2 linked regions of the Lonchura striata genome follow. The protein of the gene in region 2 purifies or fractionates together with the protein of the main gene of each other region. This does not show direct contact. Links are inferred from orthologs where the notes say so. Each region holds a gene or a part of one and is shown on either strand. Other genes may lie near its edges.

Region 1 (8,032 bases), on a different chromosome or scaffold from region 2:
TTCATCGTTTACCCCCAAACCCTGGTTCCTCCCCTGAAGTTGTCCTCCCAGGTGTGTCAATCACTTCTCCTTTCCCCACCCTGACCCTCTGCCAAGCACTGTCTGTCACTCCTGGAATTCCAGAAGGGCATAGAGTGATTGAGCAGGTTCAAAAGATGCTCTCCACCCCTAGGAAGGCATTGGGCCATCCTTTGTCCTTTGTCCCGTGAGACGTCCTCTCCTGTACCTGGTTGGTGGCTCCCTATCCCTTCCCCCGTCCGCTCCCCCAGGTAAAAGAGAGGGGAACCACACGGTCTGGGAGTGGTGGAGCTGCGACTGGATTCAGAGGCCTGCAGGCCAGAATAAAAGCTCTGGATTAAAACCCTCCATCAGAACCGACTCCTTTCCTTCACCATAGCCTTACAGGCTTCTCTGGCAGAGGGAAACCTGAGGAGCAGACCCTCTGCAAGGAAGCTACATCCACAGCCATCTGAGCTCTGGCTTGTCTGGACTTGCGTCCATGCTCCCAGCTGCAACATCCAGCTAGCTAAAGGTGTCTCTGGGGTGAAACACCACAGTGGCTGCCATTTGGTTCAGCAGCAGGGCCAGACAAGCCAGGGCACATCCCATTCTCAATATTGGTAACACCAATAACTCCTCTATCCCATGTCTTCATGGCACAGTAACCTGAAAGCCTCACTCACTTGGGCATACAACAGTCAGGAGGAACTGTGAGACAGCAAACACTATATTTGACTAATGCATGAACACTGACGCCCAGAGAGATCATGCAAGGTTGAAGGTTTTGCCAAGGTAAAATTCCATCCCTCTTTTTTTTTCTTTTGTATCTACATATGACTGTAACTAACACAACTCCTCTTGAAATTCAGCCAAGCATAACAGACACTTATAAAGCTAGGACTGAATCATCACTGCAGCTCAGCATGGAATTTGATTTTCGCAGGTTTCACTAACTCCTTTGATCTAGTTGCTTATGAAAAAATAGTAGGACTCCCTGCAAATAAAACTGTGTGGAAAAGAGCTACAGCTTAAGCAGAAGCTTTCCTTCCTTGCAGAGAAGCCAGAACTTAAGAGTGGCTGGCAGCCAAAGCCTACCAGATGCCATATAGCACACCAGCCACTGCTGCCTTCATCATGAGACGACACCAATCAGTATGTATACTCCAGCCAAACACTAAGTGAAGTAGCAAGAAACCTCTTGACAGTCCCTGTGTGTTTTCTCTGGAAGATACCCAATCCATGGAACTGACAGTGCACCTATATGGGCACCAAAACCTGCATAAACCTAAACCAGTAGTACTGCTTCCCGTCAAAGCAGGGTGAAGAGGACAGTGTGCAAACACTTTGCTGGGCTAAGTGTATGTCATGATGCCTGCTCAGTCTGCAGTAAATGCTTGTTGCAGAATGATGGGGCTTAGGCACACTCCCTCACTCACCTGTATTCAGGGGCTTTGAAGCTGCACCCATAGCTGCCAAAGCTTGTAGCAGTGACTATCACTGTCCATGGAAACTCCCAATTCTTGTAAAAACCAGCAAAGATTTTCAGTACGGTTAAGATCCACCAACTTAGGTAAGTGGTGGGGGAGCAGAACTGCTACAGCAGAAGTAATACTGTCAAAAAGGAAACTACTTATTTCTTGAAAATTAAATTACTTGCATTAATAATATCTACGTAAATTTTTTGTCATACCTTGAAATCCTCTTGACACAAAGTGTTTTTGAACAGAGGCTGGGAAAGCATAACTTTAATGTAAAGACTGGTAGCTACTTTGCTTCCACCAACTGTCCCATTAATCCCCTCTGAAGCAACTCGTACCTAGAAGGCAAGAGGAGAAGCTGGGGCTGAGCCTTAATTACAGCAAAAGAGATCATAGTGAAATTGGCAAATTATGAATATGGCAAAATATTTGCCTGTGACACAGGGCAGGCACAGGAGTATGTTCAGAAAAGAGACTACTGATTAAGGAAGGAAAATATGGTTAGTCTGAAGTTGAACATAAAGACAATAACCAGGAAAAAAAACCCTCAACAATCCAGTAACCATTTCTCAGCCATTTTAAAAGAATCACACCAGGACAGTCAGAGAAGTCCACTCAATAAACAGAGAAATGCTGTATAAACACAGAAATTGCTGTCTGCAAATCCTGCAGTCGGCATTAGAATTCCCACTGGAAGTTACCTCAGAAAGAACAATAGGTTTGTGCTGCATGACTCACACAGCTAAAAAAGAAAATGTGAATATGCATAACATTGTATCAAATATTAATTTTTGGGATGAGTCATTTTATCCCCAGCACTGACAAATGAACAAAAGCTCTGAAGTGGGGGTTGGGGGGAAGGGCGAAAGACTGAATATAAGAAGCAAGGAGAAAAACAGCTGATTGGGCTCTACCTGTCTTGGAGATGAGATGGAAAAAAAAAAAGAAAAGAAACTTGAGCAAAACACCAACTACCAGAGAAGACAGCTGAGCAGAAAAAGGAGTGAATGTATGACAACACTTCACCCCCAGGCCTGTGTTGATGTATCACTGGCAGAGAGCAAGAAGCTAATTAGGAAGACAAGTCTCAGATAAAAGGATTTTCCTGCTCCACGTTGCTCTCCTTCTCCTCACAGATAGCCTAGGAACATCAACTTTCTGAGACTAAAATTCACCTTTGCACACAGCATCCAGAGGTCAGGTACACAAGCAACTGATGTCATTAGTCTAACCTGCCAGGAATGAAAATAACAGACTGTGCAGAAAAGAAAAATGCTACATTATGGTGTAGTCTAAGGTGTTGGCTGTTCTCACCTTCCCAACAGTATGGCTTACAGCTTGCTGTAGCCACTCTGCATGGAAGCCCACTGTGCACTGAGGAAGGAGGATACAGGTGCCCAGTGAGTGGAGCAGGCCCAGACCCACGCTATCCCTCCAGCTTGGCCCTCAGGCTGCGTTGTGCTGCATGTGTCCTTCAGCCACAGCATACACCCAGCCTGCTAATGCTAACTGAGATGCCTGAAAGCAGCTCTCTGCTGACACCAATGATTAAGTCACTTTCATCTCCCTGCCTTTATAGAAAAATGCATCACGACTTTCTCATGTGAATATCCTTTCTGGTTGACAGCAGGAGTGATAAAAAGACTGTTTCCATGTGTAAAACTGATGGAAACAGGGTAATCCTTGCAAGGCCAGGGTCTGCACAGTGTGCTGCCTGTAAGGCTCACTCAGTGCCACACAACCCAGGGCTCCCTACATCAAAAGGGATTTAAGGGGATTTAAGATTATCTGTATTTTTTTTTCTTTGTTGTGATAGCTCTTAAACAGAATTCTAAAAGATACCTTACCAAGTCTGAGTGTCTGTCTTAATGGGATCATAACAGACTAACACTTTCTGATGCAAAACACATGTGGTTCTCCATATAACCCATCATCCTGCACTACGTAAAGATATGGGGCTTTTTCCTTTAAGAATAGAACCATTGCTGCAAACCTTACCTTGCCAGTGAGATGTAGATGCTGACACAAAGCCTTCTGCCAAGCACAGAGTTTCTCTGGATCCCTCACCTCACAGTAACAGTAATAGAGAAGTACGTCTCCCACCTGGCTGCCCACAGCATGGTAAAGGTAAGCAAAAAGAAAAATAATGTTAAGAAAGAACAAAATTGTACTATTAGCAGTAACCATTCAAAAAGCAGACAATTTTCTTTTGGCAGATCTGTAGAGAAAAAAATCCCCTGAAACAAACTTTGTAGGGATTAGACCTACTGGGTTTGGTTTATTACAAACAGAATGAATGTTAACCAAAAAAAAAGCTCCCAGACTTCTAATCCTCGGGACTAGTTACAAAGTGAACTTTGTACTCTCACTTCCAGGGCCTACCATATGCTCTCCCCACACACAGAACACAAGAATTGCTGGCTTTTATCCATACATGCAAGCCATTTGGCTCACTTTACCAAAATGGCACTTGAAAACTCAAGCACTTGAGCTGTCTAAATTTAAAAAGCCTAAGTTTTTTGTGAGATTGCACATTCCCACATTCTGTGCAGCACAAGCTGAACTCTGTCACAGTCAGAAGCGTTTCTATGAACCTTCTTCATAACTAACTTCAGGAACTTGAACGAACAGCAGAAAGGAACCCGTGCAAAGCATATCCTGCTGTTCTGCCCTTCTCTGTTGTGGTCCTTCCTTACAGATCCAAGCTGTCAAGCAACACCCATACAGACCTGCTTTAACAGTACAGAAGAATAGTTCAATCCACCGTTAAAAACTGCAAGGGATCTAGCTCTTTATATAAAGGATACACAAAGAATGTGAAGATCTAGAAGAATATTGGGGAATACTCTCTTCCTATACCTTAGAAGCGTGGCTTAAGAAGTACTTCTCATAAGAAGTACACTGGCAGATGATCATGTAAAGCCGAATATCCCAGTGCTGGAGCTTCAGGGAGGCGAGGAGCTTCCTTACCTGGTCAGATCGTCGTGGCTGACGTGGCTGGTGTCCGGGAGCGCCCAGGAGATCTCCGGGCCGCCGCAGGAGCGCCCGCTCGGCCGGGCCGCGCCGCCCGCGGCGTCGGCGGGCGGCGCGCCCAGCCCCGCCTGCCGCCCCACGTCCCCGGAGTGGTGCAGCGCCACGTGCCTGTGGATGCCGGGCAGCTCCTCGAACGCCTGCCGGCAGCACCGCCACCGCACGCCCTCTCCTCCGCCGGGACACCGCGACGCGGCCGGCACCTCCTTGGCTTTGACGAACAGGGAAAAGGCCTGGAACGCACCGCAAGCGTCCTCGTTACCGAGGTTACAGCGCGGCCCAGGCCCGGCCCCGGCCCCGACCCACCTTCCTGCGGGCGGCCGCGCACTGCTTCCTGCCCGCCGCCGCCCCCTCGGCGCTGCCCCGCGGCGCCGCCTCGCCCAGCACCATCTCCCCCTCTCCGCCGGGAAGCGCCCGCTCTCCGCCTCCTCCCGCCGGCTCCGTCCCCGACCCGGAACGGCTCGGGTTCCTCAGGGAAGTGGGCGGGCCGGGCCGCGCGCGCCCCGGAAGCGGCGCGGCCGCGGGCGGGGAGGCAGCGCGCTTGCTCGGCCCGCGCGGCGCCTCGGCCCAGCGCTTCCCGCAGCTCCGCGGCGCTCCGCACTGCTCGGCGCTGCTCCTCCCGCTGCTCCCCCCCGCTGCTCCGGACCATGTCGCGGCGGCGGCACAGCGACGACAGCGATGGTGAGCCCCGCGCCCCCCTCGCGGTGTCCCGGCGGGAGGGTGGGTCGGGCGGGATGGAGGAGCGGCGGGGTTGAGAGCGGCAGGGTTTCTGCGGCGGCGGTAACGCTCTGCTTGGTGTGTTGTGGAGCAGGACAGCCCCACAAGAGGCGGAGGACGTCCGAGCCGTCGGAAATTGAGGAGAGGCTCGAGTCGCTCATCTGCAGGGTGGGAGAGAAGGTAGGTGGGCCGGCGGCTCGGGGAACTCAAGCCTCGTTTCCCTTCTCCCTGTCCCTTGCATGGTGTGGGTGCGCTTCGTCTGTAGTAGCGACCCTCAAAAAATGCTTATTTTGTGAGGTGGGTGGAAAGTTGCCGGTTTTTTTTGCTAAGCCACGTGCTGCGGCGGGTAAGTGCTTAAATCGTAGCGTGGTGCTTCCCAGTCGGGGATACACGGCCCGAGTTACTGTTGTACCTAGAGATGGTGCTGGTGATTCTGGCGTGCGAAGGGTGCGAAAGAATTAATTGCTCTTCCTGCGGCACAAGTTTCCAGTCCCGACGGTGGGGCTGATGGAGGAGGGGGTGGCAGAACAATAGGTGATGATGCGCAGAGAAACTAGGTGTTTTTCAGCTTCGTGTTGTGTTGTTAATCAATGCTCGGCTGGTCGGGATGCTCCTGAGGTGATGTTCGATCTTGCATCCCGGGGGAAAGCTGAAGTTCCTAGCGAGGGAGTTTGGCGGTCAGGTGCAACTCTTGTTAGGCAAGCGAGAACAGATCTTCGCTTTTGATGGAACCCGAGTATTGCCCCGAAAAATGAGGCGACACGAAAGGATGCTCATGTCTTACATGTGGGAGTTGGACTAGTTCGTTTTGCCTGGTTGATGAAACTTTCTTCTGTTTGTTTGTTTTGTTTTCATTTTAGAGTAATTCATCTTTGGAGAGCAACCTGGAGGGCCTAGCTGGTGTTTTGGAAGCTGATCTGCCAAATTACAAAAGCAAGATACTAAGAATACTGTGTACTGTGTACGTATTGAGAAGGTCTGGGAATATGGGGTGTGCTTTCGGTGTGCCTAAGTTTGGTTTTAAGGTAGTTTAAAAGCCATGAATAGCTTTAGTTTGTGATTGGTGTCATAGCTTAGGGTTTGCCTTACTACAAACGAAAGACATAGAGGAACAAGTTCGCTATGTATTTGGTGTAATTCAAGAAAAATACCTTTTTACTTTGCTTTGACTTGAAATGTGTATAAAGGCTTGAAGCAGGTAGATGAAACATTAGAACTGGTCTGCAGTAGCTGTGGGAACGCAGCAATACCGGGTAAAATCCTTTTTCACGTGAAACGCTTAAGCGCTTAAGACCACCAGAGTGGCTGCTAACATCTATCTGTGTTATCTTGATGTTTTCTCACAGCTTTCTCTTCCCTGGCAGTCACGTGCTCAAGTCTTTGTAAGCACATTTGCTAGAGGGGAAGGACTGGGAACGGGAGGAGCAGAAACCAGGCTCTGGTGGCTGCCAGCTCTCTTTCCTCTCCCTGCAAAATGCAGGAGCAGAGATGCTATGACAGGGTCACTGAATGGTGTTGAGGGAGGGATTGTGCAGGGTCTGTTGCAAGAGGTAAGACAATTCCGAAGGAAGGGTGTGGTGCAGACTATGTAGCCTGTTCTAATATTTTGCAGATACTTAAAGTTTCTTTTTTAGCAATATTTTTAATAACAGGTAAGTAGTGTGCTTCCTTCCCTGGCAGCAGAAAGACACTGCTTACTTACCTGCTTAAAATGGTAGAGGTAAATTACTTTTTTACAGTAGGACCTAGTATTCCTTATGCTGTGTAATGACTTTACTATTGACTATGGACTTAAACAACTTCTTGCATTCTTGCAATAAATTCTGTCACTAATATTATTTGTCCAACCCTGTGGGATACTCAGCAATTAGATATAAATGAAAAGCAAATATTTTGTACTAGAAAGTGATAGTAGCTGTCTTTTCTGATTTTCTGATTTCCTCATGAGCCAAGTTTTAACTTACAATACGCGGATTCTAAGATGCCATGCAGTGGCCAACTGGCACATGATGAATAAACAACTAACACATTATTTCTTTTTCTGTGTCAGTGCACGTCTGCTACCAGAAAAGCTTACTGTTTACACGACATTGGTGGGCTTGCTGAATGCCAGGAACTACAATTTTGGTGGGGAATTTGTAGAAGCCATGATTCGTCAGCTTAAAGAATGTCTGAAAGTAAACATGTATAATGAAGCTGTGCATTTAGTAAGTGGAGTTTTATTTGTCTATTTTTTTCATATCCTTATTCTTTCCTCTTTTCACCTTTTTGTTACAGAGAGCTGGACCTTGCAATGTGTGTTTTAATGTCTTTTGCCATCAATGTGCAGTGCACTTTAAATATTCCAAGAGGAAATATGTGTTAGCAGTATTTTCTTTTTCAAGGACGAGGACTTGTATTACATTTACAAAATGTAGTTCCAATGGTATCTTTTTCACAGTGAAAAATTAAATGTGTGTTAAACAGAGGTGCTTTTCACTGCTTGTTCTTCAGTCAAATGTAAAAGATAAAAAAAAAAAGTGCTTCCTGTCTTTGAAACCATTTGCTTCATCCTTACTGCTTATAGATTTTGTCTGCTGTAAGCTATTAGAACTTCAGCAGTGTCTGATTTAGAAGCCCACTGCCAAGTTCCTCACCTTCTGAATCCCACTGGTGAAAATTAAGATTCTAGTCAAGAGACTGAACTTCAGTCAACCGTGATATTATCTTTGCTAATAAGATCTATTGCTAGAACTTGCTGTTATTTTTGTTATCTGATACTGTACAGAATAGAGAGAAGTACCGTGGTTTTCTTCTGTAGTATCAGT
Region 2 (7,128 bases):
CCCCAATTTTCCCGTTTTTTGCCCCTTTTTTCTCGATTTCCCTGTTTTTGCCCATTTTTCCCCTTTTTCCCCAATTTTCCCATTTTTGTCCCATTTCCCCCCTTTTTTCTCGATTTTCCTGTTGTTTGCCCCTTTTTTCCCAATTTCCCCATCTTCCCCCTTTTTTCCCTATTTTCCTGGGGTTTTTTTCCCAATTTTCATGTTTTTTTCCCCAATTTCCCCATTTTTTACCCCATTTTTCCCCTTTTTTCCTGGGTTTTTTTCCCAATTTTCCTGTTTTTTTACCCAATTTCCCCATTTTTTACCCCATTTTTCCCCTTTTTTTCCCGACTTTCCTGTGTTTTTTTCCCAATTTTCCCCTTTTTCTCCTGTTTTTCCCAATTTCCCCATTTTTTACCCCATTTTTCCCCTTTTTTCCTGGGGTTTTTTTCCCAATTTTCTCGTTTTTTCCCGTTTTTCCCGATTTCTCCGTTTTTCGCCCCGATTTGCCCAGAGTACTCCAAGGACTCCCTGGGCAGCGAGGAGGAGAGCGGCAAGGACTGGGACGAGCTGGAGGAGGAGGCGCGGAAAGGTGCGGCCCCAAAACCCCCGGAATTCACCCCAAAACCCAAAATCCCCAAATTCAACCCCAAAACCCCCGGAATTCACCCCAAAAACCCCTTAAATCACCCCAAAACCCCCGGAATTCACCCCAAAACCCAAAATCCCCGAATTCAACCCCGAAACCCCCAGAATTCACCCCAAAAACCCCTTAAATCACCCCAAAACCCAAAATCCCCGAATTCAACCCCGAAACCCCCAGAATTCACCCCAAAAACCCCTTAAATCACCCCAAAATCCAAAATCCCCGGAATTCATCCCAAAATCCAAAATCCCCAAATTCACCCCAAAACCCCCGGAATTCACCCCAAAAACCCCTTAAATCACCCCAAAACCCCCGGAATTCACCCCAAAATCCCAAATCCCCTCAACCCCTTTTTCCCAAAATCCCTGTTTTCTCCCCCAATTCCCCTTTGACCAAAATCCCCGTTTTTCACCCCAAACCCCCATTTCCCCCCAATCCCCCTTTTTCCCAAAACCGCCATTTTTCACCCCCAATTCCGCATTTACCCAAAATCCCCATTTTCCCCCCCAAACCCCCTTTACCCCCCAAAATCCCCTTTTGCCCAAAATCCCCATTTTTCACCCCAAACCCCCATTTTCCCCCCCAACCCCCTTTTTCCCAAAACGCCCATTTTCCACCCTAATTCCCCATTTTCCCCAATCCCCCTTTTTCCCAAAATCCCCATTTTTCACCCCAATTCCCCATTTACCCAAAATCCCCATTTTTCACCCCCAATTCCCCCTTTACCCAAAATCCCCATTTTCCCCCCCAATCCCCCTTTTTCCCCAAATCGCCGTTTTGCCCAAAATCGCCGTTTTTCACCCCAATCCCCACTTCCCCCCCAAACCCCCTTTTTCCCAAAACCCCCATTTTTCACCCCCAATTCCCCATTTACCCAAAATCCCCATTTTCCCCCCCAATCCCCCTTTACCCCCAATCCCCCTTTTTCCCCAAATCCCCGTTTTGCCCAAAATCCCCATTTTTCACCCCAAACCCCTATTTCCCCCCCAATCCCCCTTTTTCTCAAAACCCCCATTTTTCACCCCCAATTCCCCATTTACCCAAAATCCCCATTTCCCCCCCCAATCCCCCTTTCCCCCCCAACCCCCCTTTTTCCCAAATCCCCGTTTTGCCCAAAATCGCCGTTTTTCGCCCCAAACGGCGCCCAGCCGACCGCGAGAGCCAATACGAGGAGGAGGAGGAGCGGGGGCGGGGCCGGAAGCGCAAGGGCCCCCCCGGCCGGGGCCGGCCCCACCCCCCCAAGAAGAAGCGGAAGTGACGGGACCCAAAATCGCCGCTTTTCACCCCAAAACCGCCCGGGCCTTTTCGCCCCCGTCCCGCCCCTTTTTTCCCCGTTTTTCCCCGTTTTTTTTCACCTTTTTTCCCCTTTTTGTTGTTTTTTTTCCCATTTTCCCCCCCCCTCTGGAATTTTGGGGCGATTCCCGCGGATTTTGGGGCCCCGCCCGTTTTTGGGGGTTTTTTTTGGAATTTTTTTTAGTTTTGTTGTTTGGGTGAAAATTCGGGGATTTTGTTTTTTTTTTTTTTTCTCCCCGCGGGGTTTTTGGGGAGATTCCCCGAGATTTTCCCACCGGAAATCGGTGCCGAAAACCCCCGGATTTCCCCGATTTTCCCAAAATCCGTGTTTTTTCCCCCGGTTTCTGTATTTATGGGGGTCCCCCCATTTTGGGGGGATTTTCCCCCTTTTTGGGGTTTTTCCCCCCCGGGTTCGGGCCCCCTCCCCCCCCCGCGGCTCTTTTCCAAAAATTCAATAAAAATTTCGTTTTTTTAAGGTTTTCTAACCAAAACGGGAATTCCTGCGCGCCAGGGCGGAAACGGGGCGAAAACGGGGGAAATTGGGAAAAATGGGGCGAAAACGGGGGAAATGGGGAAAAATGGGGCAAAAACGGGGGAAATTGGGAAAAATGGTGGAAAAATTGAGAAAAATGGGGGGAATTGGAAAAAAAATTGGGGAAAAATGGGGGAAATTGGGGAAAAATGGAAAAAAAATTGGGAAAATGGGGCAAAAGGGGGAAAAATGGGGCAAAAATGGGGGAAATTGGGAAAAATGGTGGGGAAAATGAGAAAAATGGGGGGAAATGAGAAAAAAAAAGGGGAAAATTGGGCAAAAATGGGAATTGGGAAAAAATGGGGAGTAAATTGGGAAAAATGGGGAAAAAAGTGGGAAAAGGAGAAAAAGGGGGAAATTGGGAAAAATGGGGGAATTGGAAAAAATGTAAAATATCGCGGGGAATTGGGCAAAATGGAGGGAATTGAGGAGAAATGGGAAGAAATTGGGAAAATGGGAGAAAAAGGGGAAAAATGGGGCAAAACCGGGGGGAATTGGGAAAATGGGGAAAATAAGAAAAAAACTGGGGAAAATTGGGGGGAAATTGAGAAAAATTGGAAAAAATCGAGGGGAATTTGGCAAAATGGGGGGAATTGGGAAAAACGGGGAAAAAATGCGAAAAATGGGGAGAAAAGGGGGGAAAATGGGGCAAAATGGGGGAAATTGGGAAAAAATGGTGGGAAAATGGTGGGAAAGTGGGAGAATTGGGAAAAATAGGGGAAAATTGGGAAAACTGGGGGGAAATTGGGGGAAATGAGGGAGGAAATTCGGAAAGGAATTGGGGAAAATTGGAAAAATGGGGGAAAAGGGGGAAAGTGGGGGGGGAAATGGGGGAATTGGGCAAAATTGGGAAAAAATAGGGGGAAATTGGGAAAAATTGGGGAAATTGGGGAAAACTGGGAAAAAAATGGAGGGGAAATGTGAAAAATGGGGGAAATTGAGAAAATCTGGGGAAAATTGGGCAGAAGTGGGAAAGAATGGGGGGAAGATGGAAAAAATGAGGACAAAATTGGAAAACTTGAGAAAAATGGGGAGAAAGGTGTCGGGATTGGGAAAAACCAGTTTAAAATGGGCCCAGACCGGTTTAAATGACCCCAAACCGGTTAAAATCACCCCAAACTAGTTTTAATTTCCCTAAACCAGTTTAAATCACCCCAAACCAGTTTAAAAGGCCCCAAAACCAGCGCGAACTGGGCCGCGCCCCCTCCGCCTGACTGACAGCGCCGCTGTCCAATCACCAACCTCCCACGTCTCGCTTCGCCCAATCAGAGCCCGCACCGAGCCCTTCGCCCCGCCCTCCCGCTGATCCAACGGCGGCCGGCTGCGCATGCGCCCACCTCCCCGCGCGCCTCGGGGGGCGGGCCCTCCGCTGTGCGCCGGACTCCGATTGGTATAGCGGAATAACTGGCAGCGCGCTCGGCCAATCAGCGCGATCGAAACCACCCCCCGAGCCCCCCGCCGTCTCTCCTCCCCCTTCCCGCGCAGCGCCGCTCCGCGCGCTGCCATTGGCTCGGCGCTGGATTGACAGCCGTCTCAGCCAATCGCCGCGCGGCAACGGGCGGCGTGGGCGGGCCCGGCGGCGCTGGCGGCGCTGAGGGCGGCGCGGGCGCCATTTTGCGCTCGGCCCCCGGAGGAAGCGGCGGCGGCGGCGGCGGCAGCGCAGCGGTGCCCGGAGCGGTGAGGGGGCAGCGGGGGCGGCTCCGGGAGGGTCCCGGGGGGCTGCGGGAGGCTCCGCGGGCGGGAGGACCCGCCCGGGGGCGCGGGGGAGGTTTGGGGGGTGCAAATGGCGGCGGCGCGTGAGGGAGCGAGGCGGGAAATGGGGGGGGGGGGGGGGCTCAGGGCCGGGGGGGCGGGGCCTGGGGGCGGGGCCGCGCCCTCCTGAACTAATTGCTCAGCGTAATTAACTAATGACTCGGCTGGGGGGGTAATTAACCCCTTCAGGGCCGGGATTGACCCCGCCGGGGGCGGGGTTTGGCTCCCCAGTTAATTAACGAGCGCGCTCCGGGTTTAATTAACCCCTGCGGGGGCGGGGTTGGCTCCCCGAGGTAATTAATTAATTAATTAGGGCGCTCCGTGTTTAATTAAGCCCTGCGGGGGCGGGGTTCGGCTCCCCGAGGTAATTAATAAATTAATCAGCCCCTGCGGGGGCGGGGCTGACCCCGCGGGGGTGGGGGCGTGGCTTAGCCCTGATTAACACCCTCGGCTTAATTAATTAATTAATTAATTAACCCCTTGCGCGCCAGGCTGGGCCTAATTCACTCCCCTTGGAGGCCTTCGTTTGCATAATTAACCCAGGGGGCGTGGCTAATCGTTAAGGGGCTAATTAATGCTAATTAAGGGTTAATAAAGCAGCGAGGGGCGGGGCTACATTTGGGGGCGGGGCCAATTCCGAGGTGGGCGTGGCCAAGCCTGGCTTTGGGAGCTTTCATTAAACCCCCCAGAAGTTTTAATTAAACCCCCCCAAATCCTTTAATTAAACCCCCCCAGAAGCTTTAATTAATCCCCTCCAAGGTTTAATTAACGGCGGGGGGCAGGAATTCCCAGATTTCCCTTTTCCCCCCAATTTTGGGAGCTCAGGTTCCGTTTTTCCCTTTTCCCCCCAATTTCAGGAGCTCAGGTTCCATTTTTCCCTTTTCCCCCCAATTTCGGGAGCTCAGGTTCCGTTTTTCCCTTTTCCCCCCAATTTCGGGAGCTCAGGTTCCGTTTTTCCCTTTTCCCCCCAATTTCAGGAGCTCAGGTTCCGTTTTTCCCTTTTCCCCCCAATTTCGGGAGCTCAGGTTCCGTTTTTCCCTTTCCACCCCAATTTTGGGAGCTCAGGTTCCGTTTTTCCCTTTTCCCCCCAATTTTGGGAGCTCAGGTTCCGTTTTTCCCTTTTCCCCCCAATTTCAGGAGCTCAGGTTCCATTTTTCCCTTTTCCCCCCAATTTCGGGAGCTCAGGTTCCGTTTTTCCCTTTTCCCCCCAATTTTGGGAGCTCAGGTTCCGTTTTTCCCTTTTCCCCCCAATTTTGGGAGCTCAGGTTCCGTTTTTCCCTTTTCCCCCCAATTTTGGGAGCTCAGGTTCCGTTTTTCCCTTTTCCCCCCAATTTTGGGACCTTTTCAGGTTCAGTTTTTGCCTCTTCCCCACCTGCGAAGTCCCGGGCGGTGTTTGGGGATTTTTCAGGGTTTTTGGTGATTTTTAGTGGTTTTTGGAAATTTCTGGGGTGGTTCCAGGTGGGTTTTGGGTGGTTCCAGATGGTTTTTGGGTTTATTTTTGAGTTTCTGATCATTTCCAGGATTTTTGGGGGTTTTTAGGGGTTTTTGGTTGGTTTCAGGTGGTTTTTAGGGGTTTTTGATCAGTTCCTGGTGGTTTTGGGGGTTTTTAGGGGTTTCTGATCATTTCCAGGTGGCTTTTGGGGTTTTTAGGGGGTTTTGATCAGTTCCTGGTGGTTTTGGAGGTTTTTAGGAGTTTTTGATCAGTTCCAGGTACATTTTGGAGGTTTTTGATCAGGTCCAGGAGTGTTTTTGGGGCTAAATCCCAAATTCCCGCGTTCTCTCCTGGCTCCAGGAGCTCCCATCTCATTTCCTCCATTTTCTCCCCCAAAATCTCGATTTTCAGGGGATTTCCCCCAGATTTTGGGGCCAGCCCCCAAATTCCCCCATTCCCCCTCAAATTTCCCTCCCCCTTCCCCCCTCCTGCCTTAATTAAAGCTCCAAAGTCCCAAATTTCCCCTTTTGGCCCCAAATCTGGGGCTTTGGGAGGGCGGAGGGGAATTCGGGGAGTTAAACCCGAATTTTGCCAAAAACCCCAAAATTCGGGGGCAAAATCCCCAAATTTGGGGGAAAACCTACAAATTCAGGGAGAAACCCCCCAAATTTGGGGACAAAACCCCTACATTTTCTGTTTCTGCCTAAATTCAGGGGCAAAATCCCCAAATTTGGGGGAAAACCCACAAATTCAGGGAGAAACAAACCAAATTTGGGGACAAATCCCCCAAATTTGGGGACAAAACCCCTACATTTTCTGTTTCTGCCTAAATTCAGGGGCAAAATCCCGAAATTTGGGGTCAAACCCCTCAAGTTCCCCATTTTCCCCAAATTCAGGGGAAAACTCTCCGAATTCTCCATTTCTCCCCAAATTCAGGGACAAATTTCCCACTTTTGGGGACAAATCCCCCAAATTCAGGAACAAACCCCCCAAATTCTCAGTTTCTCCCCAAATTCAGGGACAAACCCCTAAAATTGGGGAGAAACCCTTCGGATTCAGAGTTTCTCTCTTAAATTCAGGGAAAAACCCCCAAATTCTCCATTTCTCCCCAAATTCGGGGACAAACCCCCCAAAATCTCCATTTCTCTCCAAATTTGGGGACAAACCCCCAAAATTCAGGGACAAACCCCCCAAATTCTCCATTTCTCCCCAAATTCGGGGACAAACCCCCCAAATTCTCCATTTCTCCCCAAATTCGGGGAAAAACCCCCCAAATTCTCCATTTCTCCCCAAATTCAGGGACAAACCCCCCAAATTCTCCATTTCTCCCCAAATCTGGGGACAAACCCCTCAAAATTTCCATTTCTCTCCAAATTTGGGAATAAACCCTCAAAATTCGGGGACAAACCCCCCAAATTCTCCATTTCTCCCCAAATTCAGGGACAAACCCCGAAAATTCGGGGACAAACCCCCCAAATTCTCCATTTCTCCCCA

What was found. Proteins that work in one complex are often made in the same cells at the same time.
Region 1: the proteins of heterogeneous nuclear ribonucleoprotein C (region 2) and NCBP1 purify together in Homo sapiens (co-immunoprecipitation; 3 studies listed by BioGRID and IntAct, with this or other methods). This does not show direct contact. The link is inferred for Lonchura striata from reciprocal best matches to the Homo sapiens genes HNRNPC and NCBP1.

Annotation. Positions count from the first base shown.
Region 1 is NC_134642.1:47,796,347-47,804,378, forward strand, and holds the start of NCBP1 (nuclear cap-binding protein subunit 1), read left to right. Parts: upstream 1-5,029; 5' UTR 5,030-5,155; coding exon 5,156-5,189; intron 5,190-5,319; coding exon 5,320-5,405; intron 5,406-6,085; coding exon 6,086-6,186; intron 6,187-7,275; coding exon 7,276-7,432; intron 7,433-8,032. Other genes in the region: TSTD2 (thiosulfate sulfurtransferase/rhodanese-like domain-containing protein 2), read right to left, coding at 1,691-1,816, 3,477-3,585, 4,449-4,741, 4,815-4,898. UniProt on the Homo sapiens protein: Component of the cap-binding complex (CBC), which binds cotranscriptionally to the 5'-cap of pre-mRNAs and is involved in various processes such as pre-mRNA splicing, translation regulation, nonsense-mediated mRNA decay, RNA-mediated gene silencing (RNAi) by microRNAs (miRNAs) and mRNA export.
Region 2 is NC_134641.1:1,164,074-1,171,201, reverse strand, and holds the start of heterogeneous nuclear ribonucleoprotein C, read left to right. Parts: upstream 1-4,052; 5' UTR 4,053-4,127; intron 4,128-7,128. Other genes in the region: SUPT16H (FACT complex subunit SPT16), read left to right, coding at 494-571, 1,774-1,883. UniProt on the Homo sapiens protein: Binds pre-mRNA and nucleates the assembly of 40S hnRNP particles. Interacts with poly-U tracts in the 3'-UTR or 5'-UTR of mRNA and modulates the stability and the level of translation of bound mRNA molecules. Single HNRNPC tetramers bind 230-240 nucleotides.